Linked DNA regions of Diceros bicornis minor. The protein of the gene in region 1 binds, or shares a complex with, the protein of each later gene. Links are inferred from orthologs where the notes say so. Each region holds a gene or a part of one and is shown on either strand. Other genes may lie near its edges.

The links.
Region 2: the proteins of CPSF6 (region 1) and NUDT21 are in contact, whole or in part, in a crystal structure (PDB 3P5T), measured with the Homo sapiens proteins. The link is inferred for Diceros bicornis minor from reciprocal best matches to the Homo sapiens genes CPSF6 and NUDT21. Residues at the interface, in NP_008938.2 of Homo sapiens: Trp90, Trp91, Thr92, Thr93, Asp94, Glu95, Lys113, Phe114, Glu116, Asn117, Arg118, Ala119, Asn120, Gly121, Gln122, Ser123; in NP_008937.1 of Homo sapiens: Pro151, Asn152, Glu154, Pro156, Tyr158, Tyr160, Pro162, Ala163, His164, Ile165, Thr166, Lys167.

The regions. Positions count from the first base shown.
Region 1 is NC_080756.1:2,090,508-2,098,445, forward strand, and holds the start of CPSF6 (cleavage and polyadenylation specificity factor subunit 6), read right to left. Parts: upstream 3,015-7,938; 5' UTR 2,950-3,014; coding exon 2,890-2,949; intron 1-2,889. UniProt on the Homo sapiens protein: Component of the cleavage factor Im (CFIm) complex that functions as an activator of the pre-mRNA 3'-end cleavage and polyadenylation processing required for the maturation of pre-mRNA into functional mRNAs.
Region 2 is NC_080771.1:10,007,755-10,014,897, forward strand, and holds the start of NUDT21 (cleavage and polyadenylation specificity factor subunit 5), read right to left. Parts: upstream 3,005-7,143; 5' UTR 2,891-3,004; coding exon 2,775-2,890; intron 1-2,774. Other genes in the region: prolyl 3-hydroxylase OGFOD1, read left to right, coding at 3,292-3,445, 5,312-5,457. UniProt on the Homo sapiens protein: Component of the cleavage factor Im (CFIm) complex that functions as an activator of the pre-mRNA 3'-end cleavage and polyadenylation processing required for the maturation of pre-mRNA into functional mRNAs.

The DNA of each region.
Region 1 (7,938 bases):
CAACACTGCTATCAGTGACCTAGCGCCAGACAGATCAATAACTAAATTCTACAGTAAGAGCTTTTGATCCCCAAACAGGCAAAGTACACACTACTTCAATGCACACAGTATAAGCTTTCCTGAAGTGCACAGAATTTTTGACTTTCCTCTCCCCCAGCAACAAAATTCTATAGATACAGATACACATAAAAGAGTGGATTCTACAATATACCACCTGTCAGGGTATTATAATTATGTAGGCGTCTCTCACCCCCACTGCAGTGCACTCTAAGGTAGAGACTATCTAAACTTAATATCCGTCCTTGTTGGCAGACTACAGATACTCAAAAAACCTATTTGGAACAATTGAGTTTTAAAATTTTTTATGTAGTTCTGGTCAAAATTAAAAAGTCTATAATTATTAAATATTAGGCTAATAAATACTACATTTGAGTTCAAATCCCAGTTCAAAGTGAATTGATATAACTAAAGAGGCTGAAACAGAACCTCTTTCTTCTCAACTCCAAATTCAAGTAATGTACAGGTTTGGAAGTAGTTCAAATTCTCCTTCCACTGGAGCAACTGTTCTCAATTTGGTTACATTGAAGACCTTGAATTTAAGAACTAAAGAGCACCCACAAAGAACAGCCGAGTCCCTTGTGCCTTCTCCCCTTCTCCAACTTGACTCTCCATTCTTAAATTCATCTGGTGAAGAAAGAAACTCTACTACAGTTTCACCAACTTATTCTCATCTCATCCTCAAATTAAAGATTCTTCTAAAACAGTTGAATGCCTTACACTTTTGGAAATAGGTTTATACTGTGCTTTAGCAAAATACAGACACACATGAAAAGCTTCATAAAAGTACGACCATTTAAAATAGAAAAAAATGGCAAACACATAGATTACAGAGAATTTCAAAGTATACAGATGCAAATAAAACTGCAGCTCACTTTGAAGAATAAAGATTTTTTAAACGTTTAGCAGTTTAAAAGCCAAAGTAAGTCAAGACTGGTTATACTTGGTAAAACATTTTACTCAACTACAATAAAATAAGAGCCATAGTTTACTATAGCAACCAGTAGGAATAAAGCCACCAGCTAATAACAGTGCAAATTAAATCAATCAGCAATAATTTTGTAGTTGCCTCTAATTCTGATAAAACTTCAGAAAAATATTTCAGTGACAGTAACATTTTAAAAAACAGGATGAACCATGAAAACGATCAACTATCCTTCTGTGGCCATATTTTGTATAGGAATTATCACAGCAGGCAGTAGATTACAAAGGCCAACGATATGCAAAATAATAACAAAAACGAAGCCACTATTTAATCCCCCCATTAATCTATTCAAAAGTATAAAGATTTTACTGGTAAAATCATACAGCTAGCTATGTGTGAGCTATAATGCTACAGGTACAAGTAAACAGAAAGTGACATTTTTAAAAGAACCCTACAAAGTTGTTCCTCATTAGGACCACAAAATTTTAATCTCTTCTTACCTCCTGCTCAGTCAGCACTAGTTACTGCACAGAGATAAGCAAGGACCACCCCATCCAGCCATATAGATTAGAGAAACGCCCACCCCAAATTAAGTATGCGAAAGCCTAGAGAAGATTTCATGAGGACGTCCTGAAAAAAGCTCAACTTCTAAAACCGACCCCAATTCTTCCTTCGTTGTGGAGAGAAACGCAAAGCAGACGTATTTTCTTGTAAGAAACGCTAATGAGGACAGGCTTGAACACTTACTTGTTCCCTGACTTGCAGGCATGGCCCTCTCTTGGATGGAATGTTATACTCATTCAACAAATCAAAAGAAATTTCCTAGAGCTCTTTGTCTGCTGACTTAAAAGCATTAGAATCTGTGCAGCACTAAGATAATGTCTAAATTTGTCACTGACACAACTCGGGCATCACACAGCCAAAATATAAACACAATAAAAGGAACAAAGATTTTAAAAATGTCTGACTACAATGGGTTACATTTAAACACATCCAGCCTTTAAGGGGGCAGGACACATTTAAAGCTAACTGAGAATTTTTTCCTTTCCTAATATTTAAACCAGGGCACAAAGTCATTCCGGGGGCGGGGGGGAAACGGTGGCGATTTCTAGCTTTCCCTATTTTTAAAAAACCTTGAGCCCCCGCCACAAATAAGGTCCTTTAGGGAGGGGGGAAAAAACCCCAAACCACGAACCAGTAGCATTTTATTAGGCTTCGCACACGGACCTGGAAAATACAAAAGTAAAGCTCTCCGCGCGGCGCGGCGGGGCCGACGTCTGGACACGCGCGCTGCGCCGCCGGGGGGGCAGCCGCGGCGCGGAGGGTCTGCGCCCCCGCCCGGCCCGACCCGGCCGCACGGCCCGCCGGCCGCCGAGAGCCCGCCACGGCCACCGCGCCTCGGAACGGCCCTCGAGACGCGGGCGTCCTGTCTCGACCCTGCGCGGCCGGCTCGGCCGGGCCTCGGCCCCCAGCGCGCCCAGCCCTCCGCGAACGTGCGCGCCGAGCGGCCTCTGCGCGGCCGGGGGGGCGGCCCGGGGCACAAAGGACCGGGGCGCCCCCCGAGCGGGAGGCCGGGCCGGGGCGGGGGCGGCGCGCGCCCGGCCTCCCGGCCTCCCCTCCGCGCACACGCGGCCCGCGCCGGGCCTACGCGGCGGGAAGCGCGCCGGCCGCCAACAATGGGAGCGCGGCGGGGCCGAGCGGGGAGGGGCGGCGGCTGCACGGGCCCGCGTCCGCTCCGGCCCCCGCTCCCGGCCCCGGCGCCCGCCGCCCGCGCAACGACGCGGTGGAACGAGGGGCCGCGCCGGCCGGCCGGGTGGGCGGCGCGGGGCCGGAGCGCGGGCGCACGCTGCAGCCCCGGCCCGCCCGGCCCCCGCGCGGGCCGCCGCCTGGGCGCCCGGCCCGCGTACCTGGTTGAACTCCTCGCCCACATCCGCATAGATGTCGATGTGGTCCACGCCGTCCGCCATCTTCCTCGGCCTCGGCCCGCCGCCTGCAGGTCCGCCCGCCGCGGCAGAGCAGCGGGTCGACGCGGGGGCGGGGCGCCTGCGTCACTTCCGCGGCCCGCGGGACGCGGCGGGGGCGGCGACCCGGGGACGCGGGGGCGGCGGCCGGGGGGCGCGGGGGCGCGCTGAGGGGACAGCGGCGGCCCCGCGGCCGAGGCGGCTCTTTGTGGGGCCGGGCCGGGCCGGGCCGGGCCGGGGGCGGGGGCGCCGCGCTGGTTTCCGGGGACGTGTTTCCACGTCGCCTCCGGCGCGCTCGGGCGCTTTGTAGTGTTTTCATTCCTCAGTTTTCCGGCATCTCGCACAGCCGAGGGTCAAGCGGTGTGTGTCACGCGACGCCGGGGGCGCCTGAGGGCGAGGCCGGCTCTCCCTGCGCCCTCGGCCTCGCGGAGCGTCGTCTGCTCGGAAACGCTAGAAACCCGCGGCGTTATCTCGGCTGCTGGCAGCCGTTCCTGTTTCCGTCCCCATCTCCTGCCGTCGTCGTCCTGCATCGCCGCCTCGTCCCCCGTGGCCGAGTGCCGCCGTCTCGAGCCCGCGCGGCAAGGTGGCGGCCCCTCAGGCGGGGCTCCGACTCCTGGAGTGCCCACGGGCAGGGGACGGGAAAAGTGCCGTGACCCGGACGTCTCATCTCACAGCGGGGGAGCTGGGGCCTGAGGAATTGAAGAGCTGTAACCGGGGTCGCGTGGTCAATAAAGAAAGAGCTGTTGCCACCAGTGCTTGGTTCCAAGATGTCAGTCCGGCTTGAAACCTTCCCCCATTCTTTATTTCTTTTTCACCCGTGTAAAAACCCACCAAGTGAGAGCATGTTTCCTGAGCCGGGGACTGGCCAGCAGCCATTCACACGGTGATGAGCCGAGCACCGTCTGTGCCTGGGGTGGTGGGAAGAGCTTGGTGGGAGTCCTAGAGACCAAGCTGGGGATCGGGGTGCAGATTTCCAGTCAGACGCTTGACCAGCTGGACGACCTCATCAAGTTACCCGATGTCTCCCATGTTCAGTCTCAGAACCTTTAAAACCGGGGTGGTAATATTCACCTCACCAAGGCTGAACGTTGATGGTGGTTTAAACGAGTTAATACGCAAAATGCCCTATCTCTTATGCTTCTTGGAAATACTGATTTTTCCCATGGAGCTTTAAAGAGGAAGAGTCGCATGATAAAGGGCAAGAGCGTATTTTAGATCGATAATGAGATGGGCACAATAATCACCCATCGTAGATGTCCACATCCACGGAATCTGTGAATATGTGACCTCACATGGCAAAAGGGACTTGGCAGATGTGCTTAAGGTTCTTGACGTAGGGAGGTTAGCTTGGATTTCCTGGTGGGCCCAAAGCAATCACAAGGGTTTTGATAAGTGAAAGAGAGAGGCAAGAGAGTGCGAGAAGGAGATGTGCCGATAGGAGCTGTCTATGTTCTTTAGGTACATTTAAAAATCATTCCAAGATTCTGGCTTCCGCTGTTGCCTGTGAAAAGTCTACTGTCAGTTTCTTTGCAGGACATACGGTTTTTTTCTCTGGCTGCTTTTAAGATGTTTTTCTCTTACACTTTGATTTTTTGCTCTTTTACTATTTATGTTTGGAAGTGTATTTGTTTTTGTTTGTGATGCTTAGGATTCGGCAGGCCTCTTGAGTATATTGATTGATGCCTTTCATGAGTTCTGGAAAATTTTCAGCCATTACCTCTTTGGTATTGCTTCTGCCCCACTCTTTCTTCTCTCCTTCTATAACGCTAGTTAAGTGTATGTTAGATCTTTCCTATCCACTGTTTCTCTTACCTTCTCCTTTTTATATTTTCTAGATTACTAATTCTCTCTCCTATGGTGTTAAACTCCTGTACTGAGCTATTAAGTTTTTTTTCTTTTTGGTAATTTTAGGTTCTAGAATTTCTATTTGATTGTTTTTAAAATCTATTAGATTCATTTTTATAGTATCTAACTCTTTGCCAAAATTGTCAGTCTTGACTTTTATCTCTTTGAATATAGTAGGCATCATTGGTGTACTTTCTGGGTCTCTGATAATTCCAGTATCTGGAGTCCCATTGGGTCTGTTGTTGATTCTTTGTTCTAGTTATTTGTTGTGTATTGTTTATGCTGGTCCTCACTCATGTTGTCTTGTCACCTATCTTCGTATGCTGGACATTGTAACTGAAACACTTTAAGAAATAATGTGAGACCTATGATGATTTTTTTTTCCACAGGATTTTCATTTTCTTCTGGCAGGCACCTGAGGGCACCAACAAACAGGATCACTCTAATCCAGATGGTTGGGAACCTTGGGGGGACTGATTTAGTTTGGTTCGCCCTTACCTCCTAGGGTACTGTCCTTCTGAGTACTGGCCAAAAACATGTTTACCAGAGTCACCACTCTTGACAAGTCCTAGACTCCATGTTTTGTTCCCGTAGATATCTTTTGAATCTGAAAATGCTCCCAGGGCAAAAGCACTCTGAATGTATAGACCCTATCCTCTTCTGCTTCTTGGCCAGGTAATTCATCACTCACTACCTGGTTGGCTTTTTGATAATTTTAAAATGTTACTGGGTACCTCTTTACTTGGCAATGTTCAAAAAATGACATATTATTATAGATTACAAAGAAAAATGCATAATAATAATGACAAGAACAACAAAACTCTACCACTGGGTACCTTCTACGTACCAGCCTCTTTGTTAGACATCTTCTAGTCATTAATGTAAATAAATGAAAGATTGGAGACTTGGGTTCTTGTCCTGGCTTTACAACTGACTAGCCAAGAAACCTTAGACAAGTCCAACCTCAAGTCCTCCATGAAGGTCACTCTCAGTTCTGAAATTATTCAAATCTACATAGAATTGAAAGTCCAAGGCGCCTTGGAAGGAATTTGGCAATGGTACGTTAAATGTTGCAGAGGAACTTCCTTCTAGCCTTGCTGCATGAGTTTCCTATCGCTGCTATAACAAATTACCACCAATGTAGGGGCTTGGAACAACACAAATTTATTTTCTTACAGCTCTGGAGATCAGAAGTCCAAAATGAATCTTACTGGGCTAGCATCAAGGTGTTGGCAAGGCTGCATTTCTTCTGGAAACTCTAGAGGAGAATCCATTTTCTTGCCTTTTCCATCTTCTAGAGGCTGCCCACATTCTTTAGCTGTGGCCCCCTGCCCACAGTCGCATCACTCCAACAATATAAACAATATAAAATCAAAATATTTAAGAAGAGTAGCAAAGAGGTTGGAAAGGAGATAATGTTCTAAGGTTCTCTGTCCATCTGCTGCTTCTCTTTATAGAAGAGTTTTCTCTCCTTTTCCATGCACGTGGCTATGCAACACTGGCATCCTCAGCTCCAGAGTTCAAATAACCACCATTCAAGAAAATGGCCATATGTCTTAGTTTAATTACAAAATCTATGGAGAAAGCAACTGATTAGCTCAGTTTTTATAGGCGTCTACTCCTAGTCCAATGAAGTTTGTCTCAGGGGGTGGGGTGGCAGAGTAAAAACACCTTACAAATTCCACTATATGAGTTAGGAAAGGGTGGAGAATTGTCAGTGAAAGACGGTTGCTTTGAGCTAAGCAGACACCCAAAGGTTGTCCAACACATTCCACCTATTGGATGACAACACACAGACAAACGCCTGATGGTTTGGGAAGGCAAATCCAAATCCATAAATATTTAACACATGCTGTCATTCCCACCTACTCCAAATAAACCAATGCTGTAATCTCTGTAGGAACATGATTTTGGTTCTGACAGACTACAGGCCATAATTTAGCCCTGCAGTCCCCAAACTTTTTTTAAAACTCTCACCCCTGTCAGTATGACATTTTTAAACATGCAGCCATAATATATATAAATGTAAATATTATTTTATTAAGGCATTTTATGGAACATTTTTATACCATGAACACATATACAAATATTTTAAAGGATGAAATAAACAGGATTTTTAAGTGTCTTGCTAATCATAATGACCTCATATTATCATTAGTGGATGTAAATCCAAATTTCAAACAGTCTTCTTGAAATTTTGAGGCCTCCTCCTGTTAAGTCTGATTGAATCATCATTGTTTTCATCTCATTATGTGGCTGACCAGAATTCGTACTAGAAGTAGACAAGTGTTGACGCTGCCATTTTCTTGTCTTTCACTTGTACTTTCATTGTTAGTATCAGTTATGAACCATTATTTCTTAGGATTCTTTTTAAGACACTCAGGCATTTTGTGATGGTTAACTTAGTTAAAACTGGAAAATATAGTCTATGAGTTTATGTAACTGGGCTCTCATAAACTGCCACGTGTCACAACGTGAAGTGTATTAAATGCGTGAAGTGTATTAAGTGCCTGTGTGAGGGGATCCCTTTAGAATCCTCTGCTTTGGGAAGGTAATCCCCCTCTTTCCTCAGGGTTGCCCCCAGCAAGAGGGATGATGTGGGAAGCGAAAGAAGTTAATGATTCAAAGCTCCTCCCTATCGTGGGCCCCTTATCCTTTCCACTCCACTTTCCTCGCTGTCATACATCCCCCTTCATGTTGGATGGGGGTTGGACTGGCCGAGATTCTTATGGGATCAAAATGGAAGTTGAATGAGGTGGTACATTTAATTTGGAAATTTAATGGAATCTTTAATGGAAAAGATATATGTGTAAGTTATTGTTAGTCATCCTGATGACAGGAATGCTTTCCAGGAATATTTTTGCTGTGCTGACTCGCCCAGCTTCTGGGATATGAAGATGCAAGGCCAGAGGTCATATCGTGGTCTGAGTGTGTCCAGCCATGCTAGGCACTAGAAGGATGTGGGTAGTGGAGGAGAAACAAAGTTTGAAATGTATGGAATCAGATACGATTCTTTAGAAAATTAGTCTACAGAGACATGCAAAATTATAAGTGGAAGATTTGGTTCTCGTTAATGCCTCATCAAAACGGAAGTCTCTACTGGCAGGAATACACTAAATAATGAGGCATATAAAATTATCAACTCACCAT
Region 2 (7,143 bases), on another chromosome or scaffold:
CCCCTCTAAATCTTTTTTAGCCTTCTGCATTTATTTTATTCAGTATCGTTATTCTTCCTTTCTCTTCATTCAAATCTTCTGCCCACCATATCTAATCTGAATATTCTCTCCTCCTTTATCAAGAATTCAAAACGTGGCTCGTATTGTTGAAGGTAGTTTTTGTCTTACCTGGTAAAGATCAAATTTTTCCTTGAAGATAGTTAAAAATACCATAGTTCTATTTTACCACATGTACCACCTTGTAACCCCTCGGTCTTAAGCCTTACCATAAAAAGCCTTTGATTATAAGCTTATGAGTAAGAAGAATGCTTTGACCACACTTGCCTATCCCCAAAGTATCTACTCTATCAAAATGCCTTGACATTAAAAGTCAACAACTACATAACTAATCCACTCGGCTATGCTTGAAAGGGGAACAAATCAAGGTTGCCAAAACCTAAAATATTACTTTAATTCCAGAAGTCAAATTCTAGGCATAAATGAAGCAGCTCTAAAATACACCATTTCCAGGGGGCCGGCCCCATAGCTTAGTGGTTAAGTGTGCGCGCTCCACTACTGGCCGCCCAGATTCGGATCCCGGGTGCGCACAGACGCACCACTTGTCCGGCCATGCTGAGGCCGCGTCCCACATACAGCAACTAGAAGGATGTGCAACTATGACACACAACTATCTACTGGGGCTTTGGGGAAAAAAAGGAGGAGGATTCCTCAGCAAAAAGAGGAGGATTCGCATGGATGTTAGCCCAGGGCTGATCTTCCTCACAAAAAATAAATAAATAAATAAAATAAAATACACCATTTTCAGGGTGCTTTAAAGATTTGTAGAAAGGTCTTCCCCAGAAGACCCAATGCTGAATCTAACATAGTCTTTAGCAGCAACAATCTCACACAGGACTATCCGCCCGGCAATTTTAAAAAACGCTTTATATATATTAACACCAAATTCTTATAACCTGAGTTAGAAGGAATTAAGGATAGCTATAACACATCTCTGCTGCAAGAGCCAGCTCTCACATCAATAGGAGACGCCATCAAGATGAAATGTAAGAATCTGCAGCTGTGAAAACAGAGTGCCAGCCCAGATACATGCATACTATTTCCATCATACTGTGAGCTTTGTCAAGCAGGGACTACAGCTTATTTCCTCACCACTGTATACCCAGCATTATGCCCAGTGCCTGGTACAAAGTAGGCATTGATGCAGTATTTCCTAAAAGAAAATACACTGGGGAGAGAGGACTTGTTTTCAATTTAGATCATTACTCACCCAGGTGAACTGAGTTCACAACACAATGATTATTTCTGAACACTATATTTATATAGGAGAGGAAAACTATTGTAAATCCATCAACTCATAACTTTAATGGAGCAAAAATGAAAACATTTTCACCAACTTAATTCTACATGCTGGCTTAATGCAAACTGATCCAGTAATGAAGGGCAAACTGAGGGAAAACCATAAGTCCTAGTTCTAATCACCACTGAAAGTAATCCAGAAGCTGTGCTTTCACATTTTTTAAAAGAACATTTGCCTCTTCCACTTCATGTAAATCTATAAAGGATTTTTACAAGAAGTGATATGAAATTAAAATGCAATTACGTTAGCAGCTACAGAGATATTAACTTGTATCTACACAACTACCTACTAATTCCAGATTTCATAAACCCAACATTCTTATTATCTAATCTGTCAAGCCAGCACCTGTTTTGCCAAATAAAACAATAACAACCATCTTTTCCATTTCAAATCGCTTTTGGGGGGGAAAAGTTCATTTACTTGAATATAAAACAGACAAACACCTAAAGTGTCCTACTGAAATACCAGTATCAGTAAATCCTTGCGCATTTTAAACGCTGACCAGCATTAACTGACCACTTTCCTCCCTTTGGATCAGCACCACGGTGCCTCACGACCTCTCAAAAAGGATAAAAAAGCACACTGACAATTTCTTGAGCATGACGGAGCCCAAATGCCAATTACCTGCCACAGCGAGGCTACTTTTGAGTGACCTCGAAATGCAACGGCTTAAAGGGCTTACACAGAAAGGTGCTGACAATAAAACGCAGCCCTCAATGGGTTCCCTGGGGCGACGTTCCGGACCCCTCCACGGTCTGAAAGCCCAACGATAACAGCATCCACCCTCCCATGCGGGGGTCTACTGGGTGCCTGGAAGCTGCTGCTGCGGCAGAGAAGACAGGGCAGGCCAGACAGCACTAAGCAGACGAATAAAATGTGGTGCATTCACGAGCTGAAATGCAATATAGCAATAACGGGAAAAAACTAAACCTACGCGTTATAACTAGATCTCGCAAGCTCATTGGCAGAAAAAGAGCGAAAACTGCAAAAACGATACTACATTATACCACTCCCATCAAATAAAAACACACAAAACGATGCCATACACGGGATGCGAAAGCATCAACAATGCACGGGAAGGATAAGCACCACGTTTTGAGGTTGGTTATCTCTGCAGAGGTGGAGAAAGGATGAGTGCAAAGCAAACCTGGGTTCCTACAATGACTGAACACAGGGACATGAGAACAAATCTCTCTGGAAAAAGAAAAGCTTCTCAAGTACGACTCGAACCCCTTGGCGCTGGAGGACAAGGAAACAGCCTGCGGGAGCTAGAAAGTCGCGAGAGTGGGGGTGCGGGGAAGCGTGGAGCCCGCCGAGGGCCGGTGGCGCGCCGGAAGGAGAAGACTGGAGTCTTGAGGCGCGCTCACGAGGAAGGGGACGCCGGCGAAGGCAGCGCGCGAGACCAGGCCGCACTTACAGGTTGATGGTGCGCTCCAGCGTGAGGGGCTTGGTCTGCTGGATGTACTTATTGCCGAACTGGTTGACCCCCCGGGGCCAGCCGGTCTGCGAGCGATTGGGCGGCACCACGGACATGTTGGCGAGCTCGAGCACTGGCAGCGAGCGGAAAGGGGGAGGCAGGGAGACCTTCCCTGTGGCAGCAGCGGTTAACTGCGTCCCACTCAGCAGCCGCCACCCGCCATTAACAGGAGAGCGCAAGAGGAGGCGTACGCACGGCGGAAGTGCATCCGCAGCCTCTGGCGGCAGGAAGTAGAGAGGCAACGGCCGGCCATGCCATTAGGCCAATCGCTGGTGGGACGGCCGCAATATCTGGAGCTCTCATTGGTAAATCCGGTATGGATTCCGCCTCCTCTTACTTTGGTCCTTCCTATTGGGTGGCGTCGGGGACCCTTGGAAGGCGGCATCCTGGGAATTGTAGTCTCCCTAGGAAAAGAGTTGCTTGATCAGCGTGGCGGAGGTCTGTAGCCTAGGAGGAGATGAATGGGAAACGGCCGGCTGAGCCCGGCCCGGGCAGGGCGGGGAAAAAGGGAAAGAAGGAGGTGATGGCGGAGTTTTCGGACGCTGTCACGGAGGAAACCTTGAAAAAGCAGGTGGCTGAGGCCTGGAGCCGCAGGACGCCGTTCCGTCACGGTAACCGAGGGCTGTGAAGGGGCAGCCTCTGTGCGGGGTTGGGGGCCTCTGAATAAGTCCTGGCGCTCGAGCCGATTCCTGAGCAGCGGGGCCGCCAGGGAAGAGGCTCTTGGAGAGAGCGTGACTTTGGCCACCTGCGACCCTCTTGCCTGGCCTGCTGCCCCCTTTCATTCCAGGTTCAGTTTGGGTTTAGAAACCTGAGAAGGGAAGACATGTAGGCCAGGGAGTTTCAGGAAGTAGAGGGCATGGAAGTTCATAGTGGAATTCTGGAATTAGAGATTACTGAGTTAGAATCCTCTCCACTGATGGTGCGTCGTTGGGCAATGGGTTTAACTTTTTTAAACTTCAGTTCTTTCCTGTGTAAATGGGATAACTGATAGTGTTTACCTCGGAAAGATGCTGAATGAGATTAATAAGGTAATGCATGTATGCATCAATAAATGTTTCCCTGAGTAAAAAGACCAGTAAACCTTTGGACGTGTATTTGAGTGGCTTATGCGATTTTTCCTCCGAGGGTGAAGCTCGGTTGTCCTCTGATAGGGTAGCCAGAGCACGTTGTGAGCTGCCAGATAGCAGGCACCTGAACGTACTCGTTTTTACATGCCTGTAGTTCGACTACATGACCCATGCAAGCAAACGTGTGTGGGCTGAGGGAAGGAGCCTACACTGAAGGATTCCAGCCTCTGCTTCAAATATCACCTTATACATAAGAACTCTGCTTAATATATCACGCTTCCTCTTCTCAAGTTTGCTGTGATTTTTGTTTCAGCGGTTAAGTGCTTTGAAGAGTCATGGGCGCTCTGGATGCACATAGAAACTGATAGCTTAGTGTTGAAAGTGCAAGCTCTGTCCACTCAGGGACTTCTCAATTTCCTCATTTGTAGGATGAAGATAGTGATAATGTCTACCTTCGCGTTGTTGGGAGGATTAAATGAGATAATGCATGTAAAGCCCCACTGTGCCTGGCACCTGGCAGGTGGTGGTGGTGGTGATTATTATTGCAAAGGTGCATAATCTTCCCGCCAGAGGCAGTGGGTAAAATGTTGAGGTAAAAATCAACAAATTAAAGGAGGTTATGCCTGAACTGATTAAAAGAAAAAAAAAAAAGTATGTATGTTGTAACTTCCTCTGATAGTAACTTGGGGAAAGGAAAAGGGTTGGGGAAAAATTGCCAGGCAGTATGGCTATTCTCATTTTTAATTTGCTGCTCTTATTTTAAATTTGGAGGAAATGAATTAATCTAAAATACATTCAATTCAATAAGTAATCATTGAATTAAAAAACCCCCAAAAGAGCAGGAAACTTAATTTAGTGGCATCACCTATACTCATCTTATGGGCTAATATTCTAAGCACAGTATCTTTAAAAAGTAGTATCGAGTCAGGGGCCACCCCATGGCTGAGCGGTTAAGTGTGCGCACTCCGCTACTGGCGGCCCGGGTTGGGATCCAGGGCGTGCACCGATGCACTGCTTGTCCAGCCACGCTGAGGCCGCGTCCCACATGCAGCAACTAGAAGGATGTGCAACTATGACATACGACTATCTACTGGGGCTTTGGGGAGAAAAAGGGAAAAAAAGGCGGAGGATTGGCAATAGATGTTACCTTAGGGCAGTCTTCCTCAGCAAAAAGAAGAGGATTGGCATGGATGTTAGCTCAGGGCTGATCTTCCTCACACACACACACACACACACACACACACACACACACAAAGTAGTATTGAGTCAGTAAAGAAAAAAGAGAAGAGCGTATAATTCTTCCCCCAAGAAAATTCATGACCGTCCCCTTTGGTATTCTCTCTACTGTGCTACTTAGGGGTCAAAAATACAAAAGGAAAAAAGCCATAGATCATGTTTTCCTTCCCACAGAAGCCATTGTCATGGACATGGACCCCTTTCTTCACTGCGTGATCCCAAACTTCATCCAAAGCCAAAACTTCTTGGAAGGGCTGCAGAAGGAACTTTTGAACTTGGACTTCCATGAAAAGTATAACGATTTATATAAGTTCCAGCAGGTATTTATGCCCCTTTCACATCAGCTCTTCCAGTTCAGAAATTCAGCATCTATAAAATCACTCAATACCTTTAGACTTGGGGTGTGTTAGGTTGGGTTTGCCTTGGTGGGTCCTTGCCTTGACATTGTTAAAAACATTCACTCATTTAACATAAACTTACTGAGTGTTAACTCTGTGTTAGGTGCTATAATTATTATATGGGAGTCTTTGCCAGTTCCCACCCTGTAAGACTTTATAGAGGTAACAGTAATGATGAGATAGTCAGGAAATACAGTAAGCCAGTAATTAAGTACATTAGAAATAAAGGGGTTAAGTACATTTTTGGGAGTGGTATAATGAAGAGAGTTGTACATTAGAAGATAATAACCATTTAGATTTTTGAGTTCATGTCTTTGTTTTAGGTAGCTTGGTGTATTGCAGTATGCTCTGCATTGCAATATGTCTTGTAGAGAGTTAGATCCATTCTTTTTTTGATGGCCAATTTAATTTGGCAGAAAAGACTATCTCAAAATCAAGGCTAGTTTTTCTACTCTTAGAAGACAGGCCCAGTCTAGGTATAGAAATACAGGTCATTGGTTTCCTCGGTTTGGGGGAATATCTTTCAGTACATGGTATATATCACTCTTGGAAATCCTTTATAAAACCTCAAGGACAGCAGCCCTTAAAATCACGAAAAATAAAAATGAAACAGGTGAAGAATTATTTTGTTTTCTTTGATTTCTCTTTATCTAGAGTAAGAGAGTAAATGATGGATTTCTCCGTTATCTCCAGAGCTGACTGTTTGGTCAGCTGGTTGTGTCCCCCAATCTGTCTATCTTTGGGCCTTGTACATATGATTGAATTAGTCCAGGTTAAATACACAAATGATGTGATTCTTAATAATTCAGAAAATCTAATGAAAATTAACTTGTATCCATAGTAAAGTTGCATAGGTTAATTAAAAACCATAGTTGTCTGCCTTTGTAATTGTATCAACTTTGGTAACACTAGGCCTCTTGTTGATTTAGGGCTATATGCATCTCTGATTACTAAAATTGAGAAATCAAAGTGGTTTTTACTTAATACAATTTGGTAGATGAAAATACTTCTAGCTATGAAGTCAGTGCGAGGCAAAATAATAAAAAGGGCCCTGGGTGGTGAGGAAGAAAACAAGGGAGCCATTACTTTAGATCCCCATGGGTGCTTGGTGAAACTCTGCACTGCTGTGAATAATTTTCACTCTGCTCACTTTGGGACTGAACTTCATCCTGAGACAGTAAATATAGAACCTGTTTTTAGTCTCCTGTCCCTTCAGACTTCACCTATATCTCTTTTTCTTTGTTTGTACTGAGTTGACTTGATAATTGGGCCTATAACATCTTCCAATCCCCCTAACCAAGTTTGTCGTTAGGAGTAGCCTGATATTCTGTATGTATTTTAAAGCAAGCATTATTGAGTGCATGCTTTATGCCATGCTAAGTGCTTTATATTTATTAATTCATTAAATCCTCAACAATCCTATGAAGGACATACATTACTATTCCTGTTTTACAGATGAAGAAATTGCATCAATTTTTCCTTCTCTTCTGGATCATTCCCTTCAACATACAAAAAAAAAAAAAAGCTGGTACGGTTAGTTCTTCTCATCTTAAGAAGAAAAAAGTGCTGTTGGTCTAACTTTCCCCTTCAACTACCACCCATTCCTCT